Kluyveromyces lactis: one gene and its partners. The protein of the gene in region 2 purifies or fractionates together with the protein of the main gene of each other region. This does not show direct contact. Links are inferred from orthologs where the notes say so. Each region holds a gene or a part of one and is shown on either strand. Other genes may lie near its edges.

Region 1 (3,549 bases), on a different chromosome or scaffold from region 2:
ATCAAATTGGTTCATCAACGTTAGACGTCGTAAAATCTTTAACGAATATTATAAACTGAACCAATCGGTGAATACAGACAAATCGGTGAGTTCAGAAATCCTGCCTCCAGATCATGATGACTCAGTGCAACACGAGGAAGATGGATCTGATCCCCAATTGGAAATGAGATTCCGTACTATACCACTTACAAGAAGGAAAAAATTGATAGATCGTCTGGATGAATTGAAACGTCTGTCATCGAATAATATGCCCCCACCTTCTCATCGTCGACAACCATCGTGACATTTGTCGTAATGCATATCATAAATCTACACTTTTTCGGTTATCGTTTAGCATGCATGAGAAGAAGATTTTACCCCTTCATATTAAGGTGGTCTTTTCTTTCTCCTAATTCTTTATATTCTTAATTTTTTTTGTTTTGTCTACGGTCAATCTTCAATTCCAGCTGTCACGAGCTCATTATAAGGCACAGCTTTAACTTTCTTTCATTTATTAGTTTATTAGTGTTTGTCTGCTCTTTTATCTACCATCCATTCATTTCACCCAACTCCTATTGATGGATTAAAGCGGCAAAATTTTTTATTATATCGAGATATCTTTAGCTCTAATATGAACTAGCTATATATTCAAATAAAATACTTCTTACCACAGTATTATTCTTTTAAATCAATTAACTTAGTGAAATAGGTACTTAGATTGAAATGTGATATATACACATCGATAAACGACCTTATGATTGTACTGTTTTTATTGGCCTGGAATGTAAGCATCTTCATCTTCTTCATATTCTTCATCCTCTTGCTGTATTGGAATGTTTTTAACTCTTCTGGCCCCGAAGTTGGCATTTGTTCCAATTCTATTCTCAAGTGGAGTGTAGAACCCACCTCTGGACGCATCGAATTCGAATCTCATCTCATCACTAACTTGACCACCATTCTTACCTCTACCGAACTGTCTTCCCTCTTCGAACCCAGGATCCAAGTCAATGGTTATATGACGGTCATCTAACTTCGTGTCACCCAAGTATTTTATAGAATTCAATGCGTCTTCCATCTTATCGAATATAATAAAACAAAATCCACACGGCGTAAACTTGAACCTATCTAGACCCATGATAATCTTTTTTATGGTGCCACATTTGGAGAATAGCTCATATATTTGCTCTTCACTTGTGTAAAACGATAGATTACCCACATAAACTGTACAGGATTTCATAGATTTTCTCAACTGTTGCAATCCAGAATCTGGGTCACGTCTAGCCTTACGGATCAAATAACGAGAGGGCTTATCTAACCTATCACAACTGTGATCGTACTTAATCTCATCAAACTCCGCTAGAGACATGGTATTTGCTTGACTGATGCTAGTTTGGGGTATTTGGAGTTTATCTGGAGCTATGGTGTCTTATGAACCTATAGATTTTACTTAATCATTTCAATCCCAAATTTAAAGTTGAATGAATCTTTCAAGTTTTTTTTTTTTTTCCATATAAGCCATATTATAAGTACTGAATACTTTGTGTCAGTGACAGGTTGTGAAAAATCAAATAAACAAATCGGGTGGACACTGCATCGAAGCTCTTGACTGCTGAGAAAGAATAATAAGTAACTTTCAATTAATTAAATTTGAGACTATCCAGTGGTTTCTCTGGAAAAATATTGTTATGCACTCTACTTTGACAGAAATGATTCTCAATAGCCATAAGGGAAATGTGGGAAGATACCATTTTAGAATTCATAACACACCCCCATGCCACCAAGAAGAATAAGATCCCTGTTAAATAGGTGCTGATTGTTAAAATTGACTACACAAGTATTTCCAAGAGATTCAGCTACATACTAACAATATCTGAAGAGAAGGTTTCAAGTGATACTGTTTCCATAATAAAAACTAATGTTGATTTCTATTTTGTATGGTTACTATCCGATATAGTGTAACGGCTATCACATCACGCTTTCACCGTGGAGACCGGGGTTCGACTCCCCGTATCGGAGTATTTTTGAAATTTTTTGCTTTTGCCAACAACCCAACAACTGAAAATAATGAAGATCGACATTAACGAGCGGACCGTGATATATGATACTGATAACTAATCCGTCACAATATATACCACTGTAGAGGCAGTAAACTATCAAGATAGAATTAGCAGCAGTACCTGTTTACCACACATTGGATACGTAATACAATGACATATACGGTATAGACGACAAGAAAACAAACAAACTGATAGACATGAATACCAAAGTATTTCAGACATTTATGAGATGAGATATGGTTGAATTGTTATAAAGATTAGAAAACGTATGTCGAAAAACAAGTAGTTGAAAATTGTATTGGCCTAGTGTAAAAAGGAAGTAAAAATGAGAAAAAGAAATCAGTGATTGTGACAGTATTATGATATTGTATTTCAAGATTGAGAAAGGTGCGAACGAACGGAATTACTATTATCAGTATAATAAAGCCATAAAAGGAGAGAAATGAAATATTCATCAATGATTCATGATACACTATGTATGAAAATTTGTAGAAAAGGAATAGTCGTAATGAAAAAAAAAATAGATATTGTTTCATGTAAACATCTAATCGGAAGCAAACTTCTTTTATCTCTTTCTTTTAATACCGTGAGGTTTCAATAGTTCAAAGCTGCACATCAAGCCAGTAGTCACACTCATGACAGCACCCCAATTTTCGAATTCACCACAATAGTTTGGTGCACTGAAAATCGTGACCAATTTTTTCCTTGCAAAGAATTCATAGCCATCTTCTACCACCATATGCCCTCTGATAATTAAATCGAAATTGAACTTGGAACAAAAATCAGCAATGTTTTTCTTTGAAAAAGTGTAAGAGACACCACGATCATTCAGAGACCAATCGTTAATAGAAGAGTCAGGATCCGACCATAACAAATCAGTTAAAAGACCGTCGTCCGGAATATCTGTGGGCCTTTGGATTTTGCTTACTTGTTTCAAATTGGACAATTGTGGCGAGATACCACCGTGAACGCAGAATATTTTATCTTGAATGATGGCAGCGAAGGGTAAACTGTTGAAAACGTCCACGAACATTTTCCAAGCTTTAGTGGACAGTCTACGTTTACATTCATCGTAGAATCCGTACATCTTGGTGACGTTTGCAGATTCATGGTTACCACGTAACATGAAGAAATTATCTGGGTACTTAATCTTGTAACAGAGCAAAAGCATGATAGTTTCCAACGATTGTTTACCTCTATCGACGTAATCACCAAGGAAAAGGTAATTCGTGTCAGGAGGAACACCAGATAACCTCAAGATACGTAATAAATCAGTAAACTGACCATGAACATCACCGACAACTTTGATTGGAGCCTGTAATTTCAACAGAGAAGGCTGGTTCAAGAAGATTTCTCTGGCCATGGTGCAAACCAATTGGATTTCCCAAGAACGGAATGGGAAGTCCTCTGAGTGGTAAATTCTAGATTCACCAAGGTACAACAATTTGTCAATCATATCGTCGATGTTCACATGATCCGTACAACTCAAATCATGCGAGGAACGTCTCAAGAT
Region 2 (4,123 bases):
TAGTTCCAAGTTAGATGAGTGACGATTTCTACAGTTATTCTTGTGAAACTAAAGATGGGTCTGAATATCATATGAGTGAACTGCGAGGAAAAGTTGTTCTTATAGTTAATGTTGCATCGAAATGTGGCTTCCGAGGTCAATATGGAGAGCTACAAGAGTTGTACAAAGAATTCCATGCAAAAGGGTTTGAAATATTAGCATTCCCCTGCAATCAGTTCATGAACCAGGAACCTGGTTCCGATGAAGAAATAGGAAAATTTTGCCAGGAGCACTACGGTGTCAGTTTTAAAATAATGAAGAAGTGTAAAGTGAATGGTGTCAATGCTCTTCCGCTATATAAGTACTTGAAAGATCAACAACCGCGAATGTTTGGGTTCACGTTCGTTAGATGGAATTTTGAGAAGTTTTTGATCGATCGCTCAGGGAGAGTCCATGGACGGTATTCCACGTTGACGAAACCGAAAAGTATGAAGGAAGACATCGAACAATTACTAAAACAAAAAAGCCAACTACAATCATGACTAGCAGATGGTAAAGAAGAGTTCTTCGGGGTAATCCCTTTTTCATATTCTGTAATGCCATCTTCTTTCCCGTTTATTCACTTGCAAGAAAAACACAAACACAGTTCGATATTTAAAGAGCATGATTTTCACTTCTTTTTACGATGAAATCACGTACATATATGGGGGCGAGTTCATACATGTTCATTTTTCGACGTATTATCGGATCATATATTTAACGACTCTCACCATCAAATCAGTGATTATTCTAATAATTACAATTTTTATACCTTATTTAGGACAAGTATCATATATCTACTTCAACTCATATGTTATGCATTTATTCTCCGAGATGACGTTCAAGAAATATCCTTGATCTATTTTTACCAATGTCATGGATTCTGCTGTATTTGTTTCGATCGGAAGAGTAGATTTTTCGACAAATGACTGTCCCTTAACATACTCATACCATTGTACTTGTGAATTACCCATGCTTACGAAAAAACCTTTAGCTGTATCGTCCAACTCCACACTGATGATATTCTCAGCGAAAGAAAGTGGTTCCATTGCCAAGGTGCCTGGATCCTTTCTTAAATCGTAAACATTCAAGTCAGAATCACCAAAGACAAACATCCAATAACCGTTCAAACCAAAGTCTACTCTTTTAGCTGGGAAGCCAGTTGAAAATTTAATCGGATCTTTTGTAGCAGCCAATAGGTTTATTACATATACACCTTCGTTTTGGTTACCAATAGCAAGAAGAGCTCCATCTTTATGATAATTCACAAATTGAACGGAATCGTTCAATTTAACTTGTGAGATGGTGAACAGTGCTTTTTTGGTAACTTCATACCCATATATTGTACCTCTTTCAGTTACGAATAAGAAGTAAGAATCCGATATTTGATGAGGATAAGCCATAAATATCACTGGCCCATCAGTTCCTTCCAAAACTTCTTCATACAACAAAGACTTTGTATGAAGGTCATACGCTGCTAATAGTCCCTGGGTGAAGGTGTATAGAACGTCTTTAAACTCCACCAGATATTCTGTGGCTTGTGACACATCAAGAATAGAATCTTGAGGTCCAAACACAAAAGCTTTGTCATTATCTTTTACAACAACAGATCTTTCATTAAGATTGACATGCTGATTTCTGCTAATCAAATCAATTTCAGAGAAATCTGTCGATTGAACGACTGAAACGTTGGAGAAGTGTTGTAGCTTTTTCTTAGACTTTTTGGAATTTGTCACGTACTCTTGAGATTTCGTCGATAATTCTGAAGTAAAGTCTGATAGAATTTGGTCTGAGTTCTGGAGTTTATCAATAGTTCCATCATTTTCGACATTCGAGGAAGTTATTGCCGATGTAAGTTCTGCTAATTCTTGCTTCAGCTGATCTCGCTCTACAAAAGCTTTTGCTGCCGCTGATGCAACAGCGTCAAACCTGTAAAGTGTATCACTGAGATTCTTTTTACAAACGTCTAACTGCTTCCTTAATTCGAAATTCTCGAGCATTACTGCATCCCATTCTTTCTGCAAAGTTGACAATAGACTTGGAATGCTATAGTTGTTTGCGATAGTAGACGAGCTCAATGATTCTGAAAGTGATATCTGCTGTGGAGTCGCATTGATTTCAACCAAATCTGTTTTTTGTAATGGATCATCCGTTATGGGATCTGTTCCTTTCTGTTCAATATACTGTTCGATTAGATGCTGTTCAAATATACATTTGGAATTAGGTGAAAGAACAGCTTTTATAGGTGGTTTCCCACTAATTGCACAGAACATAATTAGCGTACCTCAATTTAGCCAGTCCTTAAGTAGTTTCACCAGAAGTAAGCCCCAAGGTTCTCCTTTTTGAAGCCATTATCTAATTATGTATATCGGTGCTTCATCTTTCATGTAACATTTATGTTGGTTTTCTAATGTTAAATAAAAATGCTTTCGTTTCTCTTTTGAACATGCAAAAAAATACTGGATGAAGAAATGACTTTATTTAACAAATCAACTCACATCTTAGTTGGCTGGTTAGAACGCTCCAACAGGTTAGAATACAATCTGCAATATTCATAGAGCTCGAGATGTATATAGTATTTTTATATATATATATGCTAATTAAAGGAAAAGAAGATATACTACATACAAGAAAGACACAAATATAATGCTGATATATCATTCTTCTATGAATTCTTCCATTTCCTGCCAAGCCCAATTTCTCCAGATGTCTCCAGCCTGCTGGTAGATGTCATCAAACGAGTGTGCAGTCTTATCGTCAGTACCGACCTCTATCATCATATGATTTGAAGAACTTGGTCTAATTCCTGAAGCGTTGGATTCATCTGTGTCTGTCGAACTTCCACTAATGTCATCATCCTCGTACATCTTCTTGAAGTTGTAGTCATCGAATTTTGATATCAGTGGGACATTATTTAAGAACTCGGTGATCTCTGTTTCCTCAAACTCTAAAAGTTTAAATTCGTTATGTTGCATAATGGCAACATATATGAAAAGTAACTCCGCATGAGGGTTCAAGAGCGAATATGGAATCTCATTTTCTTGTGTTTCTGTAGTATGACCATCGTCCCCATATTTATTTCTTCGTATCAATTCCCGAATGACATCTTCATCTTGGTTCAATCCATTTTGACCGAGCCTTAACGACATCAAATCTGGGAACCAAAACTCATCATGTTCACATTTGCAAATCTTATGGAAAATCTCTGAACTCAGTTTCAATTCAGGTGGATAAATGCTTTCAAATGATTTATGGTTGTACTCGAGATAATAGTTGATTGATTCAGGACGTGGTCTCCATCCGAGCAACACATCCCATACTCTTCCTCTATCCTGACGATGCAACACTCTGCAACCACAACATTTGATCCACCAATACAACCAAGTAGCCTTCTTGGAACCTTGCAAAGCGCCTTCATCAGTGATGGGTTGATACAGTTCGGGTAACGTCTTGGCGAAAACCTTGAAGAACAATTGCGATTGTTGATTCAGATTCCCACTCTTAAGTAGGTGATAATTAGATTTATCAGGTTTTTCGTCTAATGCTGGAGCATGAAACAACACTAATACTAAACGCTCATAGATAGCGGCAAAATCAAACTCGGTATCAGGTAATTGATTCAGTAGTTCATCAGGAATTGGATATTCCTCATATAAATGTCTCAGACAAGAGTTATGATGATGGTGTTTCCGACCTGCCAAGACCAAATCATCGTTATTCTTCAAGGGACACCATTCTGCCAAGCCAAGAGCTATCCAGATGAGCCCCGACTCATATTTACAGATTTTGTTCCATTTTCTCAAGAACTGCCATACACATTCTTTCAATAGAGATTTGATCTCCTGGATCTCTGCGGACACCGGGACTGAATTTCTAACTTGGAAGTACTTGTTCAAGTCATTTTCCATCAACTCTGAAATATCTTCTTCACTTCTATCTTCAGGAAAGTACCGTAGCTCTGCCTCATTCTCATCATCTTTGAAGACAAGCGTGTTCGACATGATGTTCGGCGAGATTACCATCGGATGATATTTTAATAACGTGGGCCAAACAGCCGGACGCAACTGTGGCGGAACTCCAGCATTTCTAGCCACTAAAGCCAACG
Region 3 (5,244 bases), on a different chromosome or scaffold from region 2:
CAGTTACCAAACCTATCCCCACCGATAACACTCGATACATCTATGAACTTGACTGTAGTAACATGCCTTTTCACAATGTCATCTGCTACTCCAATGAAGCTGTTATTATCTATATCATACTTGAAGATCGTAACAGATTCTCTAATATCACCAACTGCTAACATGGTTCCATCCCATTGGTCTAATGCAGTTACTTGGGTAATATATGGTGGCATTTCGGTGATGCTTTTCCTCAACAATTGTTTTTTACCTAGTCCAAATAGGACAACATTGCCAAGAATGCAACATGCCAATTTATCTCCAAACGAAACCATGGCATTGACCTTACTATGCACCATTGTTTCATGAATGTATTGGGTTTCAAGAACGTTGTTCTTCACTCGAATTTGAATCACAATAAATTTCCCTGATTCAGTAGATATGACAATATATTTAACATTTGTACCGAAATTGCAACTACAGACAGCATTAAAGACCTCTTTAGCAATAATCACGACCGTATTCCCATTGTTTGTTGCCAATAGCTTATCATCGCGAATAGCTGATAGACTGGTTTCTTTATTAGCTGTCTTTGAAATAACATATGATAACGAATTGTCCGTTGTATCTGAAAGGATCCGTTGTGATTGATAACCAACGATTTCGTACTTCTCACTTGCATCTTCATCCTCATCTTCATCCTCATCTTCATCCTCTTCTTCATTGCCAGCGTTTTTAAGTTCGTCATTAACAAGGGTATACTTTTTCTCATTGAACCAGTTACTCCAGGACAAAAAGTTATCTAATTTGCCGATTAGGAGTTGCCCTTTGCTGGTTATGGAACAGCAGCCGTTGCGCTTGATATCATCCGTGATAAAAGCATTTATATGTTTCAAGGTTATCCCCTCATCTGTTTTCAAAGGACGTAATGTGATTTTATCATCAATTTCGTAAGTTACCCAAGATATGCTTGAATTCAATACCACTAGTGGAGTGAAATCCGAAATCTTCTTCTTGAAATCGTCTATTTTTGAATCATTTTCTCCAGGTTCATCATCATCATCATCTTTGTGATTGATATCTATATTGTCCAAGAGATTTACCTGGACGGGCTTCGTTCCGACAAATCTAGTACGTACATCGAACACTGTGCCATCATTGATATTGAGTTTAGATGACAGATAAACACCACTTTTCATACCTACGTGGATCTTAAGATCCGACGTGTCCCGCATGAAAAGTAGAGAGTGCGGTTTTGATATTAGTGACTGAATAGCACAGATAGTGAAAAAATCTGGATGTTTACTCTGTAAGTTGAGAATCTGCAGACTAGAATCTTCACATCCTAATACACAATAGCCTGACTTTTGACCGGCGAGCAATGCAATAGAATTCACTGTAGAATCCATCTCCACTCGATCCTGTAATTCGTTTAACGAATCTTCTATGATTTCAAAATAGCATATTTCATGATTTGTTAAAGCGACAACTAACTGTGTCTCATTACAAAATGCTGTCACGATGCCAACACCAGCTGGTGGATACCATTCAAGTTTTTTGGTGTATGGACCATCATGCATTTCAATAATTTGTAAAAGACAATCCCGAGTAACTTGAATAATACTTCTTTGAACCATAGCGCCAACAAACAATGATGGTTTGTTCAAAATAAATGGGTTTGAATCTCCACCAAAATCTTCGACAGTTCCCTCATGGATCTTCAAGATGGTCGTTGAGGTTTCCATAGAAAGAAATATCAGACTGTGAGTTTCGTTTTTAGGAATTCTAACGGTCCAAAGTTTTGATGGTATTCTAGGTAATGTAGTTGATATAAGTTCTTCAAAATCAACCGCAGAAGTCAATTTAACAAGATTCTCAGTTTGATTGGCTGCAGCCAATATCGTGAGTGGTGTCGAATTTGATGCATGAAATGACGTCAAGGGATTTAAAGAAGTTAAGGAGTCAAGAATGGATAGGTTTTTCAAAGTGGACTCTGTTTCAATAAATGATCTCCTTCCCGGGGTATAAGATGTAATTTTTTCTAGATCTTCACCAAGACTTTCGAACTGTGTTAAATAAGAGGTCCCGAATTCTGATACGTTGAAAAGAGCACCTGACTTGAAAATGTGGATGTCTTCAGAAGTGGGGAGTGTATCAAAGTATGCAATTTCAAGAACTGGCGCCTTAGTTTCTTCATCAGGGATAATTCCGACCTTGTACATATCTCCGTGGTTAGACTGCATTAGGATGAAAAAATCTTTCTTCAATTTATGAATAGTACCGTTGATGATATTAGTTGACGAAACAGTTTTTCTGACGGGGAGTTGAACAGACACTTCATAAAAGCCTTCTAAGTCTATCAGAGTCAAGTATCCATCATAACCACAAATAACAAATGGATTTACCGAATCTTGATCAGTTTCATCATTCGGTCTAGTTTTAATCTTATACTGTTGTAAATTTGGGCATTGCATAACGAAATTGATGGATTTATCCTCTAAAAGATGCTCTTTCCGGAGTAGCAACGTGTTAAGACCCAAATCCATTGTATAAAAAGACAAATAGTAATCATTTGTCCCAGATTCTACCTCTATGGCAGCATTCACCGGATTATCAAAACTTACATCACAAGCTGCCGATGCCAAAGTGATTCTATCACTTCGTTGAATCTCTATAGGAGAACCAACAACCAATTTCCCACGTTGCCAGTCAGCCAACACGCACATCTTTGAACGCTCAATCCCACTGAAAAATACACATCTACTCTGTGGATCCGAAACCATTTGATATTGAGGTACAAACCTTCTGATCCCAGATCTGGAAATCGGTTCGTTTGCCAAAGTACGCACGTACACTTTCCCGCTCACGGAATCCCTCTCAAACTGCCAAAATGTTAAATTCCCAGAATCAGTTATCAACACCAAAATCGTATGTGAACATCTATCCATATTCAACTTGGTCATAGAAAGAATAGTAGCTGCTATAGGCCATTTACCCAACGCATCCAATGTTCCATTGCTAACATCGTACAATTCGACACAATCCTGTGTAGCTAGACATAATTGCAGTTCCTTCCGCTTCTTCGATGACCTCGGTCCCTTAACACTTGTTGTATCAGCTTCTGCTGTCGCTAATGATGATCTATCCAAAGTAAAATCACCGATGCAGGAATGAACGTAGTTCCTATGTCGTTGTAAAACAGTGTGCCATAGCAACACTTCAGAGTCCTGAGTCATCCGATCTTCGTTAGCGGGTAACTAAACACACGCTTCAGACGATGATCAGAGGTGTATACTGATGGTAATCAGTAGTGTTGTTCGTCAACTTGCACTCAAGAAGTGCGCTGTTGTTAGTTACTTTGTTTACTTTCAGATTTGGTTTTTTGCCGCCCTTATGAAGAAGTTAGGAAATACTATTTCAAAAACTTACACGTGACCAACAAATCCCAAAAAGTCAACAACATGTTACCCTGACATCACGTCACACGAAAAGATGCGATCACGTGACCAGAATGACATGAGACTCCACATTGTTTCGGAAAAACTTCTGTTGGAGCAGGAGCGAAGTGCTCGTTCAAAGCGGAATAAGAAAACACAGAAACATACGCAAAGGCTGTTTATCGCTCCATATGGACGGAAAAACTTACGATGAAGAGAGCGTACAGGCATGCTTGTACGTTGAGAAAGAAAGGCACACAGTCATTGTTTTAATCCATTACGAGATCAGCATGTAATTCGATACTACTTGTTCCCTTACCGGCACTGGCTCTGGCACTGGTGTCGTTAAACGGTATCACGTTTTGGTAACCCCACAAATGTGCACCTGATGGTGCAGAAACGTAAATATGGTTCACCAAGTTCAAAGCACAAGGCGTATTACGCTACTAACTCTAAGTAGGTGTTTCTCTTCTTCAGAAAAGAAAAACACCGTATGAGGATTCAAATGCCATAGCTTGACTGGTAGACACTCTGTATTGGTTTTTTTGACTTTCTCTTCTGGTCAGAGGAGCAAGTATGAGAAAACTCTTTGTCTGTCTCTACACGTTGATTTATACATTGTTACTGGGGAAATATTAATCGGCCGCATACAGATATCGGGTGGACTCATATTGGCAGATCAGCTCTGTGTGTGTGTTTATTTTTTTCTTCTTCCTCTCTGTGTGTCCGTTCCTTTTCACCAGGAAAAACCTTAATAATATATAATAACGGAAACATGACATATGCTAAAACTTGGTAAGTACGAAATGTTTTCTTCTAGGATAAAAGGCTGAACTCTAGAGTGTAATTTACTACACCAAAGCAAATTTGCCATCCGAACCAACCAGAGACGGTATAAGGTTAAGATCAGATTACAACAAAGCAGTGCTAGTTACTATACTCAGTACTTTTTCAAGATTTATCAGAGAGGAAGGCGAATATTTCCGGTTTTGTGGGAAAATTAACATCAATAACCAATAGCAAACTAGTCGCAATGGAGGTTTACGTGCGTATGAATGATGATTTAGAGTACGATTATGCGTTTCAAGTACAAAAAGATGATACTTTAGAACAAAAAATTGCCTTAATATTTAATAAGGAAAAGGGTCTTTCAAGGTTTATGGTTTTGAAGCCATCAATTTTTTATAAGAACGAACCATCTGGTTTCAGGAAATCCATGCATCCTGGTTTCTTAACTGAGAATGGATGTTTATTGTTCGATTACTCTGCAGATGATTCAGAGTATTTAGAGGATTTGGAAGTTTCAAAGAAAACCGTTTGGGAACAATTGTGGCCTGGTCAATTAGTATTACCAAAATGGGAGAAGGACTGGAAAACAATCTGGACTTTTGTAACTATAATGCTGGTATGGTTGTACACTGATTTACCAGATTGTATTTCTCCAACGCCAGGTATCTGTCTTACAAATCAACTTTCTAAGAGATTTGCTAGTCTCGCTGATAACGCTGGTCTAACATTCGTAGCTGAAAAATTAAGAGAAGAACTTGAAATCAACTCTGTTAGTGTCACTGCTCAATGGTTATTCTTCGTTTTCCATATTGTCAAGATCGTGATATTATCTTCATTCTTCTACACTGGGTTGGTAAATCCAGTGTCTTTCAACCCATTGAGATCTTTGCTAAACAAGAAATCCGCAATCTCCAACGGCAACTCTGAATTGAAGAGCACTTTACAGACCATTGGTTGGGTAGGTGCAAGAAGAGCTATTTACGACGATTACAGAGACAAATACTACCAGTACGTTATCGATAAGAGCGGTGGTCCATTG
Region 4 (4,495 bases), on a different chromosome or scaffold from region 2:
GTTTTCGCTAATGAAAGTTTCGTAATACAAGTTCATGAAAGAACCCATCAAAAATTGGCAATCGACTCTATCAGTAATACCACCGTGACCCGGAATTGAATCACCAAAGTCCTTCACTTGGAATGTCCTCTTCAATCCAGACGCAAAGAAACCCCCAAATGGTGCAAATAAGGATGCGAAAGTGGCCAAGTTCAATGCATGCAAATAGACCGGTTTGATAGTAATAACGTCAACGCCAATCTTTTCAAAAATAATCGGAGGTAGTCTATAATCCTGTGGAACGAAAACAGGGTTCAACTCACAACTCAACGCTGTGAAAAAGTTTGTTTTCAAGTCTGTAACTGGACATGTCATGTAGTAATATGGTGCAAGAAGTCTGGTCAGTAAAACACTGGCAATTGCAGTGAAAAACCATGCGCCGAGGAAACCCTCTAAAGTTTTCTTTGGAGAGATTTCAATTAGTTTGGTACGACCAAAAGTTATACCACATAAGTAAGCAAATATATCGTTCACGATGACCAAGCCGCATGGCAAAAGGAACCAGATCAAACCGTTCAAAACATTGTTGATGATCAAATGTGCTTGAAAAACCACCAACAGCAAAACCATATGTGTCACACACAATGAAGCAAATTGGAATTTTAGGTAACCTTTTCTCAAACTGCAAACGAATATAACAAAACCCAAAACATAGAGACAATAACTAATGAACTTGTGATTGGATGCCACGAAATTCAAAACGGTATACTTCACGAAGGTATCGTTGAAGAACTTGAAAAGTGATTTACCGTCCAAATAGTATATCGTAGTAAACAAAAAGTACCAGTTCAAAGTTTTCGTTAAAGGGAGGTTTTTTTCACGTCCTGATTGTCCAGTAACTGCAATGCATTCTTTGAAAGTGGCAATTTGGCAACCCAAAATCAAGACAACACACCAAAAGTGACCAGAAGCCAAGATGATAAAAAAACCTGCAATCATAACAAATGTCCAAATGGTTCTAACAGCAAAATTATATAGTTTTGAATCTTTTTTGACTTCAACCTTGGAGTGTTTTTTGTAATCTTCAACTAACCGTGTTCTCGATGTTGTTTCTCGATGTTGTTTCTGAGGTGTTGAGGTTGCAGATCCACCACGGGAGGTGTTACCAGTTCTTTTTTTGACTGTCATCACTTTTATATTCCCGGTTAGCAGATTGTAACGTGCTTAGATCAATAAGATGCTGTGAAGTAGAGATCTGTTTCCTTACTCATGCGAGTGATGATGCTCTTCTTTTTTCTTGGTTGATTATATATTTCCACCATCTATTCCAAATGGATAATTTTCTTCGAACTTCAAGATCATGTGACATGTGAAAAAAAAACCATGCTCCCAACTTGTGTAAAGTTCCTCTACATACATACGATATTTACAGATGCAGCAATAAGGGAGAGTCTTTCCATTTTAGCATGTGTGTAGGATTGAAAGGTCAGAGAAGGCCCTGTTTCTTAAGTTCTTCGTATACTTGAACACTCATCACATTACCTTCATTGTCCTCTGTTTCAAGTACCATTTCCGGTTCTTTCACAGTTGATATTTTGGAAAAGGGTTCACCTGACTTTAGTGTACTCTTTGCTTGCAATGCTTTCCATAGCTCTGTCACCTCTACTATAGTAGTGACATCTTTGAATGCAAGAGAAGGAGTTATGCCTAAAGATTTCAAACCTTCTGAATGTTTTTTCAGTGGGAAATGTTTCTCGAATTCTCTACGCCCATGATATATTTGATTACCGCAGATCTCGCAAACATATTTCACATCTAAACCTTGGACTTTGATGAGCCAGCGAGGTATAGGAAATCCGTCAGGTCCTAATGGTAGGTTGTATGGATTCGTTGGATCCATACTCTCTTTTTGAGCAGTATCTTCAGCATTGTCAATATAAGATGGTTTATCTTCAGATTCATCTTTGGCGTATATGGGTGATTCATATTGTTCTTGTAGCTTTTCCAGCTCTTCAGTAAACTCTTCATCTGTGAATGCAAGTTTTCTTTCCGTGAATGATATTGTATTTTGCAATACTTTAGAGAGAAATTTGGAAAAACAGTGAAACGTGTATTCCTTCATCAAACGCTTTCTATTCCGAGACAATGCAATATTAAACTGTTCAGTTTGAACATGAGTATTAAATTCCGACTGACTATCAAACCATCGATTAAACACAACGGAGTACATTTTCCCGCTTTCCTTCGATGGGGATTCTGTGATACCGGTCCTCACATATTTATCAAATCCATTGTGGATGGTTTTGGAAAGAATTTCCTTGTCCACTAGAGGATAAGCTTTGGAGTAATAGGCCTTATAATATTTCAGTAACTCAGTGACTAATTGGTTATATTCCTTGGTGTCTCTATCTAATGATGGGTTGAGTAAGTAGTCGTATGTTTCAAATGATTCTAACATCTTCAAAAATGAAAGTATCGTTAAATCCGCACGCTTGATGATATTCAACCACTTCTTGAATTGTTCTGAGAGATCCAAATACGTCCCAAAGTTTTCATCTCTAGCAAAGTTTCTTGAAAGATCAATTATTTGTCCTATGGGCGATATGATGTTCTTACTGGCAGCTTGAGGGCCAGAAAACATCTCATAGTCAGATTTGACTTCAACCAGAGAACGTGAGTTTACTTGACCCTCTAATACTTCTGTGGTGACGGTTTCAAACTGTTCAAAGCTAGCGTTTGTATCCCTAAAGTATTCTAAATGTTCTTCACTCAATTTGTGCTTTTGCAAAGATTTCAACAGTCTTCTATATCTTCCAAGAAATAAGGCGATTTCATATTCTTGTGCTTTGATTTGCTTTCTAGAACGTTTGCTTTTCTTGCTCCTGTAAATCCTGTTGGCAGAAACGTCTAGCTTAGGTACCGCCCAAGCTTCAACTCCCAGATTATGCAGTGCTTCGTTAAATCTGTAAAAGATTTCTGGATTTCTTCGTAGTCTGGACGAAATAGCATCCTCGATGACTTCTAATTCTTCTAATATCTTTCGCCTCTCTTCAAAACATAGATAAGTGGGGGCATTCATATCTATTGTCTTCTATGAATCCTCTAACTGCTACACAGACAGTAAACCGAAGGCACGGTATTCATTTTGAGCCTTCATCTGATCCATATTTGTACTTTCTAAGGTATTTCCATTCTTTACATTTTTATTTTCTATAATCAATGGCAATTTCGACGTATGAGGAACAAATACTAGTAAACAATGTAAACCAGCAATACAATATGTCACATATCATAACAATAATTTGGAGAGAGGCCATTTCATGTTTAAGCTTAGAAAATGTCTATTCAATTACACACTGATTGTTATTTGAGCAGTTACATAATATACTAATGTTTTCTCCGCTTCGTAGGACGGGCATTCTTGGAACGCTTTTTCTCTTTAATTTCTCTTAGCTTTCTAATCTCGTCAACTGACTTTATTTCTTGTTTCATCCCAGGACCATTATAACCCTTAACTCTAACACCTCTTTCCAAAGCAGCTTCCACTTTTTTCTTTTGGAAAGCGTAATCGTCTCTATGTTTATCAGGCAATTTAGGAGCTTTTTGAGTCTTGTGTTTGAATTTACCGCCAACCGTACGCTCCGATGGAGAAGTCGGATCAGCCAATAGATTCGATGGAATAGTGGATTCTCTTGCACCAACTTTGAGTGGAGCAATTTTTCTTGCCTTAGACCAATCTTGGAATTTTCCGGATCTGAAACTTGCAGGAATCTTTTGACCACTTTCTCCGATGATGTACTTTTTGTTGTCCAAACCTTGAGTGTTCACATATTTCTTACGCTTCTTGTCCCACTTAACCGTAGCTGTTTGCTTGTGAACTTGTACCTTGTCATCGTTGGCTAGATCAAATGCAGCATTGGAAGCATCATTTGTGAAACCAGATGATATCTGTAATTGTTTATCTTGAATGTCACTAGTTGGTGCGAAATGTGATAGATAAAAAGTTGGATCTCTGAAAGTTTTCTTCTGCTTCTTCTTAATATTTTCTTGCTCTTCTAACAAGACATCGGCATCTTCAAATTCTTTCAATACCTCATCAGGCACTGAGTAACCAACTTCGTTGTCTTCACCTTTCAAAATTTCATCTTCTATACTATGCCTCAAACCAATCATTCTCTCTTTTTCCAGAAGTTCTTGTCTTTCTTTTGCCTTCCTTTGAATTGGAGCTATTTGTCTCCTCCTTCTCTTCATTAACACAGACATTTCATCGTCTGGATTCCTTGCGAACTCGAATACAGTTTCCTTGTTATTTCTGTGTTGCAACTTAGCTAAGAAATCCAATTTCTCTTTTTCGGCGTTCTTACCGAAGTATATATTCTGTTCGTCCCATCCTGATCTGAGAATTTCCTTTGACCTTTTCATGGATTCAGCAGACGCTGGTGTCCTGGTTCTAAAGTAAAGTTTTTCGGCTTTCAGGGCAACACCTTTCACAGTATTTAACTCAAAGTCAGATTTG
Region 5 (4,143 bases), on a different chromosome or scaffold from region 2:
TTTTCTCGATTCCAGCGCGCCTTTGAAATCATGAATTTGAGATTGCAATGTCGCCAAATCTCTATAGATTTGAGTGTTTGTAGAACCATTTTCTAATGCGGCCTTGAACCACTTTACAGCGTCTGAGTAATTTTTCACCTGTCTGTAATAAATTCCTAATAAGTGTCCACCAATTGGACTTACAAGAGTGCCTTTAATTTTGGATAACGCTTTATCAATGTAACTAGCAGCTTCTTCAGGTGTACTACAGAATTGCAAGTTCAATCCCTTCAAAATTATAGAGTCCACATGACTGCTGTTCTTCTTCAAGATTGTGTCCAAGATCTTCAACGACTTCTTGTAATTTTTACCTTCATATAGTTGCAGTGCTTCCAACATATTGCTGTCATCCTTAGACCTACCAATTGGAAGTCCCACTTTCCCGTGAGATAGTCCCTTTTTTTTATACATGCTAGTGTAGATCAATGGGTCGCTGAGTGTAGATAAGCAAGCCAGTAAGAGTGTTTCTCCATTTATTCAGTCATGAATATGATTGTTGAACTTGATAATTTTCATGATTTAGACGTTGACTATTGTAAATTTTTCAGTTTAGAGATACATTGAAAATGAAATGTTTGGGTTTGAACGAACTGAAGGTAATAGTTAGCAAGCGGAGCTGGTACGATTCAAGGAGTTTATTACTCACCTACTGCAATAAAGTTAAAACATGTTGCAATCCAATGATACTTTTGATATAGTTACATACTCACATTTACAAATATTTTACGTAATTAAAGGGAAACAGCTGACACTTTTGAAACGTAGGGTTTCTAACGAGTTAATGTAAAGATCAAAAACGGAAGTCAGGCTCTTCTTCCACTTTCTGTTTTTTATGTAAGACATTATCATCGTCCTTCTCCTCTACGCTTGTTGATCGTTTGTTCGTAATATTGTAAGAGGTAGTGGAACTGATTATTGTAGATCCGTCGACTTCGTTTGATTTAGCTTCCGTTAGAACAGTAAATAAGGGTCTATTTTCATCATAGTGCTGGTTGACTACAGAGCCTCCATCAATTGGCACTAAGCCTGAATTATTGTTTTCATGTGTCTCGCTTTCTGTTTTTGTTGCTTCCGCTTCATTGGCGTCTGAAGACACCTCATCGTCGGAAATTGATTCGTTCAACGGATCTGGATCAATATGTGCGTCTTGATCTTCTAATTCTTCAAATGAGAACATGGCTCCGAATAAGTTTTGTTTGGGTATTCTCAAAGTATCTTCAGGGTAGTATCCGTATTGTGTACCGGTAAGATTAGAGATTTCCCAATTTATTCCACAGACTTTCATACCAGGGTATGATTTGGGTAGTCCTAATCTATTCATTTCATGACACCAAGGCGGGAGCATCCCCTCCGTGAGATTTAATGCCTCCCTTAAAGTTTCCGATAGATACCCTGGTCTATATCGTGTCTTTATTTGTTTCCATTCGAGTTCACTATCCAAACTTCTGTTTTCATAATATAAATCACCAAATGACAATAGTTCAGGTTTCCAATTCTTTCCCAAAGTGAAAAATGCTTCGTACAACCTTTTATAATCTAGATCTAATACACCTAGCTTGGGTTGAACTTTTGCTCTGGTAATATCCTTCAATTTCTCTGCTTGCTTTTCGTTTCCAGAGGGAACAGTCTCTCGCATCGTTTCAATATCGGTTTGTCTAATAATCTCAGGTAATTGAAATGGCTTCCTTTCCATCATTGATCGTCCAGATAAATAACCTCTTTTCATTTGCCAATGTCTGGGGATCCCCACTGTATTATGTGTTGTCTTTATAGCTGCATTGAAATAAGGCCATTGCGCATCGCAGTCAAACCATTCGATGAGTTCCGGATATGGTACTGAAGCTTTCAAAACAGCAATACTTGGTTTGTTAGCAAGTCTCTTTTGTCTTTCTGATATATTTTGAAGTACTTCATCCGCTTGATCCTCAAAACTGTCGGAACCCTCAGCATCCTCATCGTCAATATCAGCCCGTTCTTTTCGTACTATGGCTTGTTCCCGTTTTGAATCATCATCCTCATCGGCCCCTGTAGCCGAAGCTTTAAATCTTTGTAACACTTTATTGAGACTTTCATCCTTGATAACTAAAGGTTCATTAATTACCTGTTGCGAGGTGTTGCCATTCTCTGATGACACTTGTTGTAACAAACTGGAAAGCCTCTTCTTCCTTTCTTCTGCATCCTCTTTCACAGATCCATTTTTATTCTTTGAACGGCGTTTATTAGCCTTGGCTTTCTTTACCATAGTGCAATATCTGGTGGGCAGTTGACTGTTGTTATATTAATAAGCAGTCGAGCCAGAATACTATTGTATGCTCATCTGTCAATTTGCCTTTTTTATGTCCTTTATTAAGACCACATATATTTTTCAATTAAATGTTGAAATTTATACCATTATATTATACGTGAACAGATATGGCAACATTCAACGGTCTTGTATACATGTGATAGATGCTATATGACTATGGATAATAACGAATCACTCTTCTAAATTCTTGAGTCTATCGTTGATTGAATCGGCGAATTTGTTAAATTGTACATCATCGTCATTCACTTTCCGCAGTAAGTCCTGTAACTTTTGCTGAATATCTGAGGCTATCTCAAACACGGTGGGAACATCTTCGTTGGAATTACCACTATTTTCTGATCCTTTTGGTTCAGGGGTAACAATTGGTTGTGTCGAAATCATCTTTTGAAGTGATGACTGCATGTATATGGCTGTATGTAAGCTAGATCAATAGACTTCAAGGTATGTCGGTTCTATGACATTTACATTTTTTTTAGTTATTTGAATCCGATCCAAATTTTGGTGATACAAATGATACATGGAGGTGATGAGACTAACAATGGCGAGAACGCCAGCTGGTCTATTTTGTCCATGATAGCCTATTAGGTATACAGATGAGTTGGAAAGGGGTTTTTGCAAGTTCATTTCCCAAAGATACTTTACAGAAGTATATTGCTGCCAATGAGAGCATCGCCAACTCTACCGTTTTTCAAGGTACGCTATATGAGCTCACGGTGGTACGAGAATTAATGAATAAGCTCCGACTGGAGGATATGCAGGTAGTTGGCGGTTCATATGATGGCGGCATTGATATTCGGGGCAAATGGAACGTTTTACCATTAACAAAGGCTATAGAAATGCAAATACAATTCGATGAGCTACCTAAACGTTTGAAACTTCCGACTACATCGATAAAACCATGGAAACATAGGGTGAAACCCGATAAATATTTAGACTGTTACATTCAATGTAAGGCTTTCAATTCAGATAAAGTTACTGGCCGCCAGGTACGGGAATTAATTGGATCATTCTCCATGCAAGTTCCCGCTCGTAAAAGAAACTCGAGCATAATGATAATGAGCTCTCCAACTTTGTTTACAAAAGATGGAATAAGGCTGTTTAATGAGGCCGCAATACCAATGGTATTTACCAAAGTGGATATGATCCAGAGATTAGCTGATGGAAGCTTCGATGTGAAAAACTCGGGAAAACTACAGCATTATTATGAGAATGACTATGCATCGAAATTACTTGCAAATTGTGGAATCAAAGAATGGTTAAAATTGAAAGGTTATGAGTCCTTAGCACAAAAATGAAATATTAGCACGCAATTACGCTATCAGAAAAGTTTAAATAGAATGAAACCTGTACATATGATGAATGTAATAAATATGATATGCTAATTAATTTAAAGATGTATAAATTTATAAAGGTTGTGTATCTGATTATGCAGCGCATGAAAACGAGATAGGAATGTATATAGTAGCCAGGTTAAAATTATGTATTAATGATGTCTCGATGTTGAAGGGAAGGCGTAAGTTTTAAAACAAGTTTGGGAATAGTTGTGGATGGCATTTTAGAATCTCTTCATATTGAAGCCCACTGCTAATGTCTTGGAAATCATATAACATATAGCAGAGACAAATGACGTGACACCGCACCAAATTACATAGTGGTCATAGCCCTTGAAACTCTTTTCTGGTCCGATGATGGCACCTGTAATAGGAACTGCTACTAAAGTACCAAATGCGACAACAAAGTACATTGTAGAATATCTTCTTCCGAATTCTTCAGTCTTTGAGATTTGTCCACAGCAGACA
Region 6 (5,115 bases), on a different chromosome or scaffold from region 2:
ATTATTGGAGGCCGCAAAAGAAGGACACCAAGTTATCATTTTCGTTCATTCGAGAAAGGATACTGCTAGAACTGCTAGGTGGCTTATTCAAAAACTTATAAATGAAGATAAAATAAGTGCGTTCCAAGGTACCGATAAAGGTTCCTTGGAAATCCTCAAGACAGAATCCAGTAATGCTACTGATAGATCGCTCTCCGACCTTATACCTTATGGATTCGGTATCCATCATGCAGGCCTTACAAAGGATGATAGATCTTTATCCGAAGACCTTTTTGCTGATGGTTTGCTAAAAGTTCTTGTTTCCACAGCAACTTTAGCATGGGGTGTTAACCTTCCTGCCCACACTGTCATAATTAAAGGTACAGAAATGTATTCACCGGAGAAAAGTGATTGGGTCATGCTTCCCCCACAAGATATCCTTCAAATGTTAGGAAGAGCTGGTAGGCCGAGATACGACGTAAATGGTGAAGGGATCATTATTACAAACCAATCAGACGTACGTTATTATCTCGCTGTGTTGAACCAACAACTCCCTATAGAATCTCAAATGATTTCAAAAGTTGTTGATAATCTTAATGCTGAAATAGTTCTAGGTAACGTCACCTCACTAGATGAAGCAGTTAACTGGTTGGGTTATTCCTATTTATCAGTACGGATGAAGCAATCACCTCATTTATACAACTTGCAAGGTTCTTCAGGAGACATGAGTGATGCTGAGCTCATAAGAGTCAACAGAAATATTGTGCATACGGCGTTGAATTTATTACAGAATAACGGTCTTGTAAACTATGACTCTCTTTCTAAGTCGGTACAACCAACTGAGCTAGGTAGAATATCCTCTCATTTCTACATAAGTTATTCGTCAATTGCAAAATACAACCGGGAGTTAACAATAAACAGCACTTTGATCGACATTCTGAGAATATTTGCTATGTCAGAAGAGTTTAAGAACATTACCGTAAGACAAGAAGAGAAAACTGAATTAGAGAAACTCGTCGAGCGTTGTCCAATTCCGATCAAGGAGAAGGCTACTGATTCATTAGCCAAGGCAAACATTCTACTTCAGGTGTACATTTCAAAATTACGATTGGAGGGGTTCGCTTTAAATGCGGATATGATTTACATTTCTCAGAGCGCAGGTAGACTTTTCAGAGCACTCTTCGAAATGTGCTTAAGAAAAGGATGGCCAAGACTAACCAAGCTTCTGCTTACCATCTGTAAATGCGTCGATAGCAGAATGTGGCCCACGAACTCACCATTTAGGCAATTCAAGAGATGCCCTCAAGAAATCATAAGACGAGCAGAAGCGTCTGGTTTACCCTGGAACGATTTCTTACTGTTGAAGAATGCTCATGAGGTAGGCGAAGCCTTAAGATCTCCAAAAAATGGTAAAGTTGCTTTCGATTTGCTTCAAAGATTCCCGAAGATTGGCATTCACTGCGCAATGCAGCCAGTTACAAATTCACTACTTCGTTTTGAGTTGGAACTCCAACCTACATGGATCTGGGATCTGGATTCCAGCAGCTATTCTGAAACATTCCTTGTTCTTGTCGAAGACACAGACGGTGAACAAACAATTTATCATGAGACATTGCATGTTGGGAGAAATGCAATAAACAGCATTGTGTATCTTGACTTTGTTGTATTTTTGAAGCAGAAAATGTTACCGCCGAACTATTTTGTATCCGTTATATCAGAAAAATGGCTAAACTGTGAGTACAAGATTCCTGTTATTTTGAGTGAAATAAAATTACCTAAACCATTCCCTCCTGCAATATCTGTTTCTGATTCAATTAAGAAAAGTACCAAGGAACTACAAATTGATGAATTTGAGGCGTTATACAATTTCCATTCTTTCAATAAAGTTCAAACTGAAGTTTTCGATACATTATACCATGAAACTGAAAACGCACTAATATGTGCAACAAAAGGTTCCGGTAAAACAATAATGGCAGAACTTTCATTATTGAACCATTGGAGAGAAGGCAGAGGACGTGCGATTTACATTTGTCCATTCAAAACCAAGATAACTGAACTTCTAAAGAATTGGAAAAAGCGATTCTCACATTTGGCTGGTGGAAAACTGATCAATGCTTTTTCTGGAAATTTGCAGCACGATCAAAAACAATTAGCCCAATCTCATCTAATATTAGCTACTCCGAATGAATTTGAATACCTGTCTCGTCGCTGGCCGGAAAGAAAAAACATTCAAAGAATAGAACTAATTATTTGTGATGACATCCATGAAATAGGCAACGAGATAATTGGACCGATGTATGAAATCATAATTACGAGAATGATTTTCATTGCAACACAATTGGAGAAGAATATAAGGATTGTGGGGCTTGGAACCCCACTTGCCAACGCAAAGGATTTCGGAGAATGGTTAGGTGCAAAAAAATCAAGTATTTTCAATTTTACTGCTTTAGAAAGGCAAACACCCTTGACAGTCGATATCGAAACTAGCATTTTAGTAAAAAGCCCTACTTCTAATCGAATGGCCCTAACTGAGATCGTTGAAAGTAGTAATCGTGTCGCCTCACCCGATGAAACTATAACAGTTTTCGTCACTGACAGATATGAATGCGTTTCTTTCGCGACAGAACTCGTTGGTCTCGCTGTTGCTAAAGGCATTGATCTTCTTAGAGCAGAGGAATCCAGTTTACACTCGTATCTCAACAAGGTCCAGGACAGCAACCTCAAGACACTGTTGCAAAGTGGTATAGGAATTCTATACCAAGGTATGCATTATTCCGATAGGAATGTAGTCCGTAAGCTCCATGAATACAAGGTGATATCGATTTTGGTTGCAAGTAGGGATTGTTGTTTTGATGCCCCTTCATCAAGTTTTGTCTTTGTTACTACAACTCAATATTTTGAAGGCAGGGAGAACAGATACATCGATTATCCTGTAAATACTATTCTTGAGATGATGGGAACAGCGTTTACGGCGTCAAATAAACAGCAAGCACATGCAAAACTAATCACCACAATGCAAAGGAAGGAATACTATAAAAAATTCCTTTGTGATGGGTTACCAACGGAGAGTTCTCTGCCATACCATGTTATTGATTTACTTACAACGGAGTTTGCAAACCAAACATTAGAAACCAAGCAAGACTGTATCGACCTTTTAACTTACACTTATCTATATCGTAGAATACATGCAAATCCAAGTTTCTACGGTATTCAAGATGTGACTGCAGACGAAATTTCCTCCTATTTAACAGAATTAGTAGAGGAAGCAGTAACAACCATGAAGGAAACCGAGCTTATATCAGTTGAAGGGGAAGCGAACGATTCCACAGAAATTGCAGAGGAGGTAATTTCCCCGAATAATGCCTGTCTTATTTCTGCTATCCATGCCGTAAGTTGTTTAACGATATGCAATTTTAGCCGAGCAGCATCAAGATCACTAAGAATGAGCGGTATTCTTGAAATTTTGTCTTCAAGTGAAGAGTTTAAGACATTGCCTCTTAGATTACATGATATAAAGCCATTAAGAAAATTATACGACATTTCACCTTTGAAGTTGTCCTCCGAATTCGATCCACGCTCCACAACAGCCAAGGTTTTTGTGTTATTGCAGGCCCATTTTTCAGGTCTTCATTTACCCATGGACTTATCACTTGATTTGTCTGAAATCCTTTCAAAAGCACCTAGCTTAGCAGGAACAATGGTAGATATATTGTCAATGAACGGTTATTTGAATGCCACTACTGCTATGGATTTAAGTCAAATGATTGTTCAAGGTGTGTGGGATACTGATTCACCTTTGAAACAAATTCCATTCTTTGATACAGACATCTTGGAGAAATGCAAAAACCATAATGTAGAAACAGTTTATGACGTGATGGCTTTAGAGGATGAAGAAAGAGAAGATATCATCACTTTACCGGAAAATAAGTTGAATAAAGTCGCAGAATTTGTCAACAGTTATCCAAACATTGAGTTGAAGTATGCTCTAGATATGTCAGCACCGATGAAACCTCACGACAAAAAAATGGTTACTGTAACAGTAAGTAGAGATGAAGAACCAGAAACACTAAATGTTAGCTCAAAGTCGTTGCCACATGAAAAAACTGAAGCATGGTGGATATTCATCGGTGAAAAGAGCTCCAGGCAGCTATATGCTATCAGGAAGATCGCGCTTACAAAAATGACCCAGGACTACGAATTGGAAATCGAATTGGAAGATCCTGGTGATCATGAACTAACAATATGGTGTGTATGTGATTCTTACTTGGATGCCGATAAGGAAGTAACATTTAATGTTAACATCGCATAGTAAATGCATAAATAAAAAGAAAGTACTGTATATATGCAGTGAATATAAATTAAAATAAAATTCTTTCTATAAGCAGAGTAGAATCCCTTTATCTAATCCTTCATTTCAATGTCCCCGTCATTATCCTTGACTTCTGTCACATCCGAATCAACAAACCCGTTATGTTGCTTTTTCTTAACACTTTCTTGGTGCGCCAGTAACTGTGCATGACTCCACACAGATACACCTTCTTGATCTTTTGGATCAGTTGGTTGTGCCATGGTTCGCAAAAATTGCTTAGTATTGGCGATAGCCATATCCGTGGACAAGTTCATGTCGGCATCAGATAAACCTTGTGCAATCCATTTTGGTAGTTGACTTTTCTTCCTTGCAAATCTACGGTCTGCCAACACCATTACACCGTAGTCATCTTTACCACGTAAAACTCTACCTAAGCATTGAGCTGCATGTCTCATTGCATCAAAAGATAAAAAGTCATTCTCTCGGATCTGGTAATTCTCACGTAAGAACTCTAGTCTTGCCTTAAGAATACGAGATTCTGTATACTGGAACGGAATGCCGATCATGAGTACAGTTCTTCCGTACTGATGGTCAAAATCGATACCCTCAGACACTTTACCACGCGCAACTGACAAAAGAATGGCTCCTCGTCCGTTAGAACAGGCCTTACGGTATGTTTCCAATGCTAAAGCAGTTTCTTGTGCATCGGGAGTTTCCACTAAGATCAATTTGTATTTCCAAACCTCATCTAGAATACCCATAGTTTGCCACATTGAAATAATGGATTCCATGTATAAATAAGATGGGAAAAAAACGACCAAACCATC
Region 7 (3,380 bases), on a different chromosome or scaffold from region 2:
ATGGGAACTGTTAGAAAAGCAAGAGCAGAAGCATGTACCAAAGAAAGCTACAGAGGTAATTTGTAAATGAACACCATCACTGCTTTCATTTCGATGACTGAATTCAGGTCATGATCTATTCGGTAATAGAATCTCACAAAAGTATTTAACTTTGAGCCAAAGATATCGGTTTTACCGCAAGACGGGCACATATATTGTGATATAAAGGGTAATCCTCATTTCGCTATTACTTTATGATTATATTTTATTGCAGTGACGAGGCCAACTTGCTGGCAGTCGTCATCGAATCTTAAATAATATGTGCATTTTATACTGATCATTGCATACAAGAAACTAAAATTATATTATCCTGGGAAGCGTAATTCAATTCTGTTAAAAAACACTGGTACCGACGACACCTAATTCAGTTGAAATGCTCCAGGTTCACCTTAGCAATATACTCTGGCCTAAAGTGACTATTATAAATAAGGAATGCTGCCACTCCATTTCATATAGAAGATGTTATAGATAAAAACCTTAAGAATGAAGCGGTGGCTCAATGGTAGAGCTTTCGACTCCAGTTAAATCCTGGAAATTTCTATGGAAACAAAATTGCAATCGAAGGGTTGCAGGTTCAATTCCTGTCCGTTTCATTTTTGCATTTTTTTTGGAAATCACTACCCCAACTCAACTGGAAAACTAGTAAGCAATAAGAAATCCATGGTGGCTGGAACAGCTGTTACACCGTGAACGAGACCTTCTTGGAATGAAAAACATAAGGTATTAATCTCTAGAGATTTTTTTAGAATGAGCCTTTGAATTGTAAAACCTACATAAACTATACTATCATTAATTATACTAATACTAATATTCCCTTTATTAAGATAAGCAGTTCCCTAATTCTATTACAACTGAGGAAAGCTATACAGTGAATCCATAATTATTCCGATGTTTCCTTGTTTGCTTCAATAATATTCAGACTAGTGCTATATTAATTCGCTTCTTCTGCGAGTTCTCCATTTTCCTCTTTATCGTCAGATTTCTCTGTTGTTCCAGTCGGCGTAGGGGGTTGATCACTTTGCTTGTTCACATCCTCTCCTACGTATAGCACGTTATTACATCTGATGAAAATGTCCCCAACTTTCCCACTTGAGACATCATTTATGATCTCTTCCGCATCTGTTAGTTGTAGATTGAAATATGTATCTACCGATACAAGTCTTCCTTTATATTGTATTTTATTGAATTTGAGTGTCACCAGCACATCTTTGTCTATCAATTGATGTAAAAAGGGTTTAGGGTTAATTGGTTTGAATTCCTCTGGATCCTGCAACGTTTAAATTGGTTAGTAAGGTGACAAAATCTGTGGATTCATCGATCGCAGATGGACATAATCGTCCTAGCTGCGACCAAAAAAGTATGGAACAAGAAAACTTACCATTTCAATACGTTAATGCGCGGGTGTTCTGATATGTATCGATTACACGATATAATTCGAGAATCTGTTAAAGGTTTTATTACGTCTGTTGGTTGCTACGTAATGTTTTCGTTGTCTATCTTTTTGCAATACTGTATTTTCATGTTTTTCAATATGGCATGGAAATATTAGATGCCCTACCAAGGGAACAAATAAAACAAACCAAAGTAGTCCGGACAGTTTTCAAAAGTTTTTATGCCATGCACTGGGTAAGTCATACTTAGATATATATTAAATAATGACAATACGATATGTTTCTTCCAACAGAAGGAACAGGGTTCATTCAAATTTGAGTCAGTTTTAATGAAAGGTTTGGTTTACCTGAATCGTATTCAATTCTTAACATGGCCCACGTCAAATCCACAATCACTGACGAGATGGCTAACGCATAAACCAAAGAAATGGCATAGAAAAAGTTACTATTACCGGAGCCTAATCCAATCCATAGGTAGTAGAAGATTGGTGACAAAATGATGGCATGAATGAATAAAAGGGTTGATATGACTGGATATCTTAGATACCCAAAGATCGGTTTGAAAAATGGGATAAAACTTAAGAAAAACCCTCCGTCACCTAACGTTGGGTATGATTTGGTGAGCGTAATCCAACCTAGACATAGAACAAATGCGTAAAACGATTGCTGATTGAATCTAATAGTGAAAGGTGGGATAAATGAAACAACAAATATGTTGAACACAGATTTGAAAAATGGGATGAAAAATTCGAACATTTCAATAAAGAAATACCACCACAACCCTAGATTTGGCCTTATCTTACTGAAAGTAATCAATATCCAGTATGTTGAAGTCAAATAGTTCCAGTTATCGTTATTTAACTTGAAACTGATCAACTGCAAAACAATCGATACCAATGTACACTTGACAACAAGGCCGAAAGAATTTGATCCACAGATTCCTGCCAATGGGATCAACAGTAGATAAGCGTAAGGTGATAAATAACCAGCCAACGCAATGCATATGGCTGACAGTGAGAACTGTCTAGATAACGCAAATAGTAAAGAAGTAGAAATGGAAAGGTTCACAAATAGACATGTCGATTGTGAGACACATGATAAAAGTACCAAAGGGTTCACTGCATAAACCACACCTGGAATATAACTAGGAATTTGCAATTGGCGTTGATATATCTTAGCTATTTGCATCAATTGATACGCTATTAGAGTGTCCATGGCCGCAAACAAAACGGGCATTAGAAACTCCGCTTGTTGAACGAATGCCATTAAAGCTACCAGCAGAGGCACATGATGCACAACACCACCATCATAAATGGGCAAATTATGCAGTAAAAGATACGCACCTTCTTGCAGAGATCTATAGCTTGTAACCGGAGTAGAAAACTCAACGGTTCTGTCCAATTGCTGCTGCAAAGAAGGGAACAGGTACGAAACAGCCAATCTGGACGCAAAACAAGCCCATACAACCTGCCATTCGGACGAAACCATAATCACCTCAAGCGACACAACAAGTCAACACAGTAGGGTCACTTCGTATCCTCTCAGAATCGTATCACCGTTCAATGCAAAAAAACAAACCAATCGTGAACCGAGCTTCGTAATTGCAGTACAAATTATGCATATTTGAAAGCTTATTGTATTGAAATGAAGTACATCAGTTAAATCAATGGTAATACAAAAAGTGATCCACACAAACATTACCCGGACACGTGAACAGTTTACTCTAATACGTGTTTACATATCACGTGATTAAGATACTCGCTTCTAAAACAGCAGAATTTTGCAACCTGCAGTCGAATGTCAGGTTTAGTCACAACAATACTGTGTTTAACCGATAATCTTACAGCACTGAGGCACAGAGATCTGAGTTCAAGCCTTTCCTTAGTGGGTCATTTTTTGTTTTGCATTATTTGGCATTTTCTGACCTTGAAAGAAATGTTTTGATGAAAA

The links.
Region 1: the proteins of PRP19 (region 2) and CBC2 purify together in Saccharomyces cerevisiae (affinity purification with mass spectrometry; 3 studies listed by BioGRID). This does not show direct contact. The link is inferred for Kluyveromyces lactis from reciprocal best matches to the Saccharomyces cerevisiae genes PRP19 and CBC2.
Region 3: the proteins of PRP19 (region 2) and RSE1 purify together in Saccharomyces cerevisiae (affinity purification with mass spectrometry; 3 studies listed by BioGRID, with this or other methods). This does not show direct contact. The link is inferred for Kluyveromyces lactis from reciprocal best matches to the Saccharomyces cerevisiae genes PRP19 and RSE1.
Region 4: the proteins of PRP19 (region 2) and PRP9 purify together in Saccharomyces cerevisiae (affinity purification with mass spectrometry; 4 studies listed by BioGRID, with this or other methods). This does not show direct contact. The link is inferred for Kluyveromyces lactis from reciprocal best matches to the Saccharomyces cerevisiae genes PRP19 and PRP9.
Region 5: the proteins of PRP19 (region 2) and CUS1 purify together in Saccharomyces cerevisiae (affinity purification with mass spectrometry; 3 studies listed by BioGRID, with this or other methods). This does not show direct contact. The link is inferred for Kluyveromyces lactis from reciprocal best matches to the Saccharomyces cerevisiae genes PRP19 and CUS1.
Region 6: the proteins of PRP19 (region 2) and BRR2 purify together in Saccharomyces cerevisiae (affinity purification with mass spectrometry; 5 studies listed by BioGRID, with this or other methods). This does not show direct contact. The link is inferred for Kluyveromyces lactis from reciprocal best matches to the Saccharomyces cerevisiae genes PRP19 and BRR2.
Region 7: the proteins of PRP19 (region 2) and SMX3 purify together in Saccharomyces cerevisiae (affinity purification with mass spectrometry; 4 studies listed by BioGRID, with this or other methods). This does not show direct contact. The link is inferred for Kluyveromyces lactis from reciprocal best matches to the Saccharomyces cerevisiae genes PRP19 and SMX3.

The regions. Positions count from the first base shown.
Region 1 is NC_006038.1:913,764-917,312, forward strand, and holds CBC2 (nuclear cap-binding protein subunit CBC2), read right to left. Parts: upstream 1,346-3,549; coding exon 749-1,345; downstream 1-748. Other genes in the region: KLLA0_B10450g (homeobox domain-containing protein), read left to right, coding at 1-283.
Region 2 is NC_006040.1:326,526-330,648, reverse strand, and holds PRP19 (E3 ubiquitin-protein ligase PRP19), read right to left. Parts: upstream 2,292-4,123; coding exon 816-2,291; downstream 1-815. Other genes in the region: KLLA0_D03905g (glutathione peroxidase), read left to right, coding at 15-521; OCA5 (Oca5p), read right to left, coding at 2,676-4,123. UniProt on the Saccharomyces cerevisiae protein: Probable ubiquitin-protein ligase involved in pre-mRNA splicing.
Region 3 is NC_006037.1:720,188-725,431, reverse strand, and holds the start of RSE1 (U2 snRNP complex subunit RSE1), read right to left. Parts: upstream 3,216-5,244; coding exon 1-3,215. Other genes in the region: GSF2 (Gsf2p), read left to right, coding at 4,450-5,244. UniProt on the Saccharomyces cerevisiae protein: Involved in G2/M transition. Required for pre-mRNA splicing and endoplasmic reticulum (ER) to Golgi secretion pathway. U2 snRNPs associated protein required for the pre-spliceosome assembly.
Region 4 is NC_006042.1:2,291,342-2,295,836, forward strand, and holds PRP9 (SF3a splicing factor complex subunit PRP9), read right to left. Parts: upstream 3,059-4,495; coding exon 1,466-3,058; downstream 1-1,465. Other genes in the region: CDS1 (phosphatidate cytidylyltransferase), read right to left, coding at 1-1,167; ATP-dependent RNA helicase DBP10, read right to left, coding at 3,367-4,495. UniProt on the Saccharomyces cerevisiae protein: mRNA splicing factors, PRP9, PRP11, and PRP21, are necessary for binding of the U2 snRNP to the pre-mRNA in an early step of spliceosome assembly.
Region 5 is NC_006042.1:790,030-794,172, forward strand, and holds CUS1 (U2 snRNP complex subunit CUS1), read right to left. Parts: upstream 2,282-4,143; coding exon 830-2,281; downstream 1-829. Other genes in the region: peptide alpha-N-acetyltransferase complex A subunit NAT1, read right to left, coding at 1-450; BIL1 (Bil1p), read right to left, coding at 2,516-2,746; RRG7 (Rrg7p), read left to right, coding at 2,938-3,639; MCH5 (riboflavin transporter), read right to left, coding at 3,900-4,143. UniProt on the Saccharomyces cerevisiae protein: Essential splicing protein required for U2 snRNP binding to pre-mRNA during spliceosome assembly.
Region 6 is NC_006039.1:1,578,925-1,584,039, reverse strand, and holds the end of BRR2 (ATP-dependent RNA helicase BRR2), read left to right. Parts: coding exon 1-4,288; downstream 4,289-5,115. Other genes in the region: TFIIH/NER complex ATP-dependent 5'-3' DNA helicase subunit RAD3, read right to left, coding at 4,381-5,115.
Region 7 is NC_006041.1:435,759-439,138, reverse strand, and holds SMX3 (mRNA splicing protein SMX3), read right to left. Parts: upstream 1,421-3,380; coding exon 1,418-1,420; intron 1,307-1,417; coding exon 971-1,306; downstream 1-970. Other genes in the region: GPI-anchor transamidase subunit GAB1, read right to left, coding at 1,740-2,918. UniProt on the Saccharomyces cerevisiae protein: Plays a role in pre-mRNA splicing as a core component of the spliceosomal U1, U2, U4 and U5 small nuclear ribonucleoproteins (snRNPs), the building blocks of the spliceosome.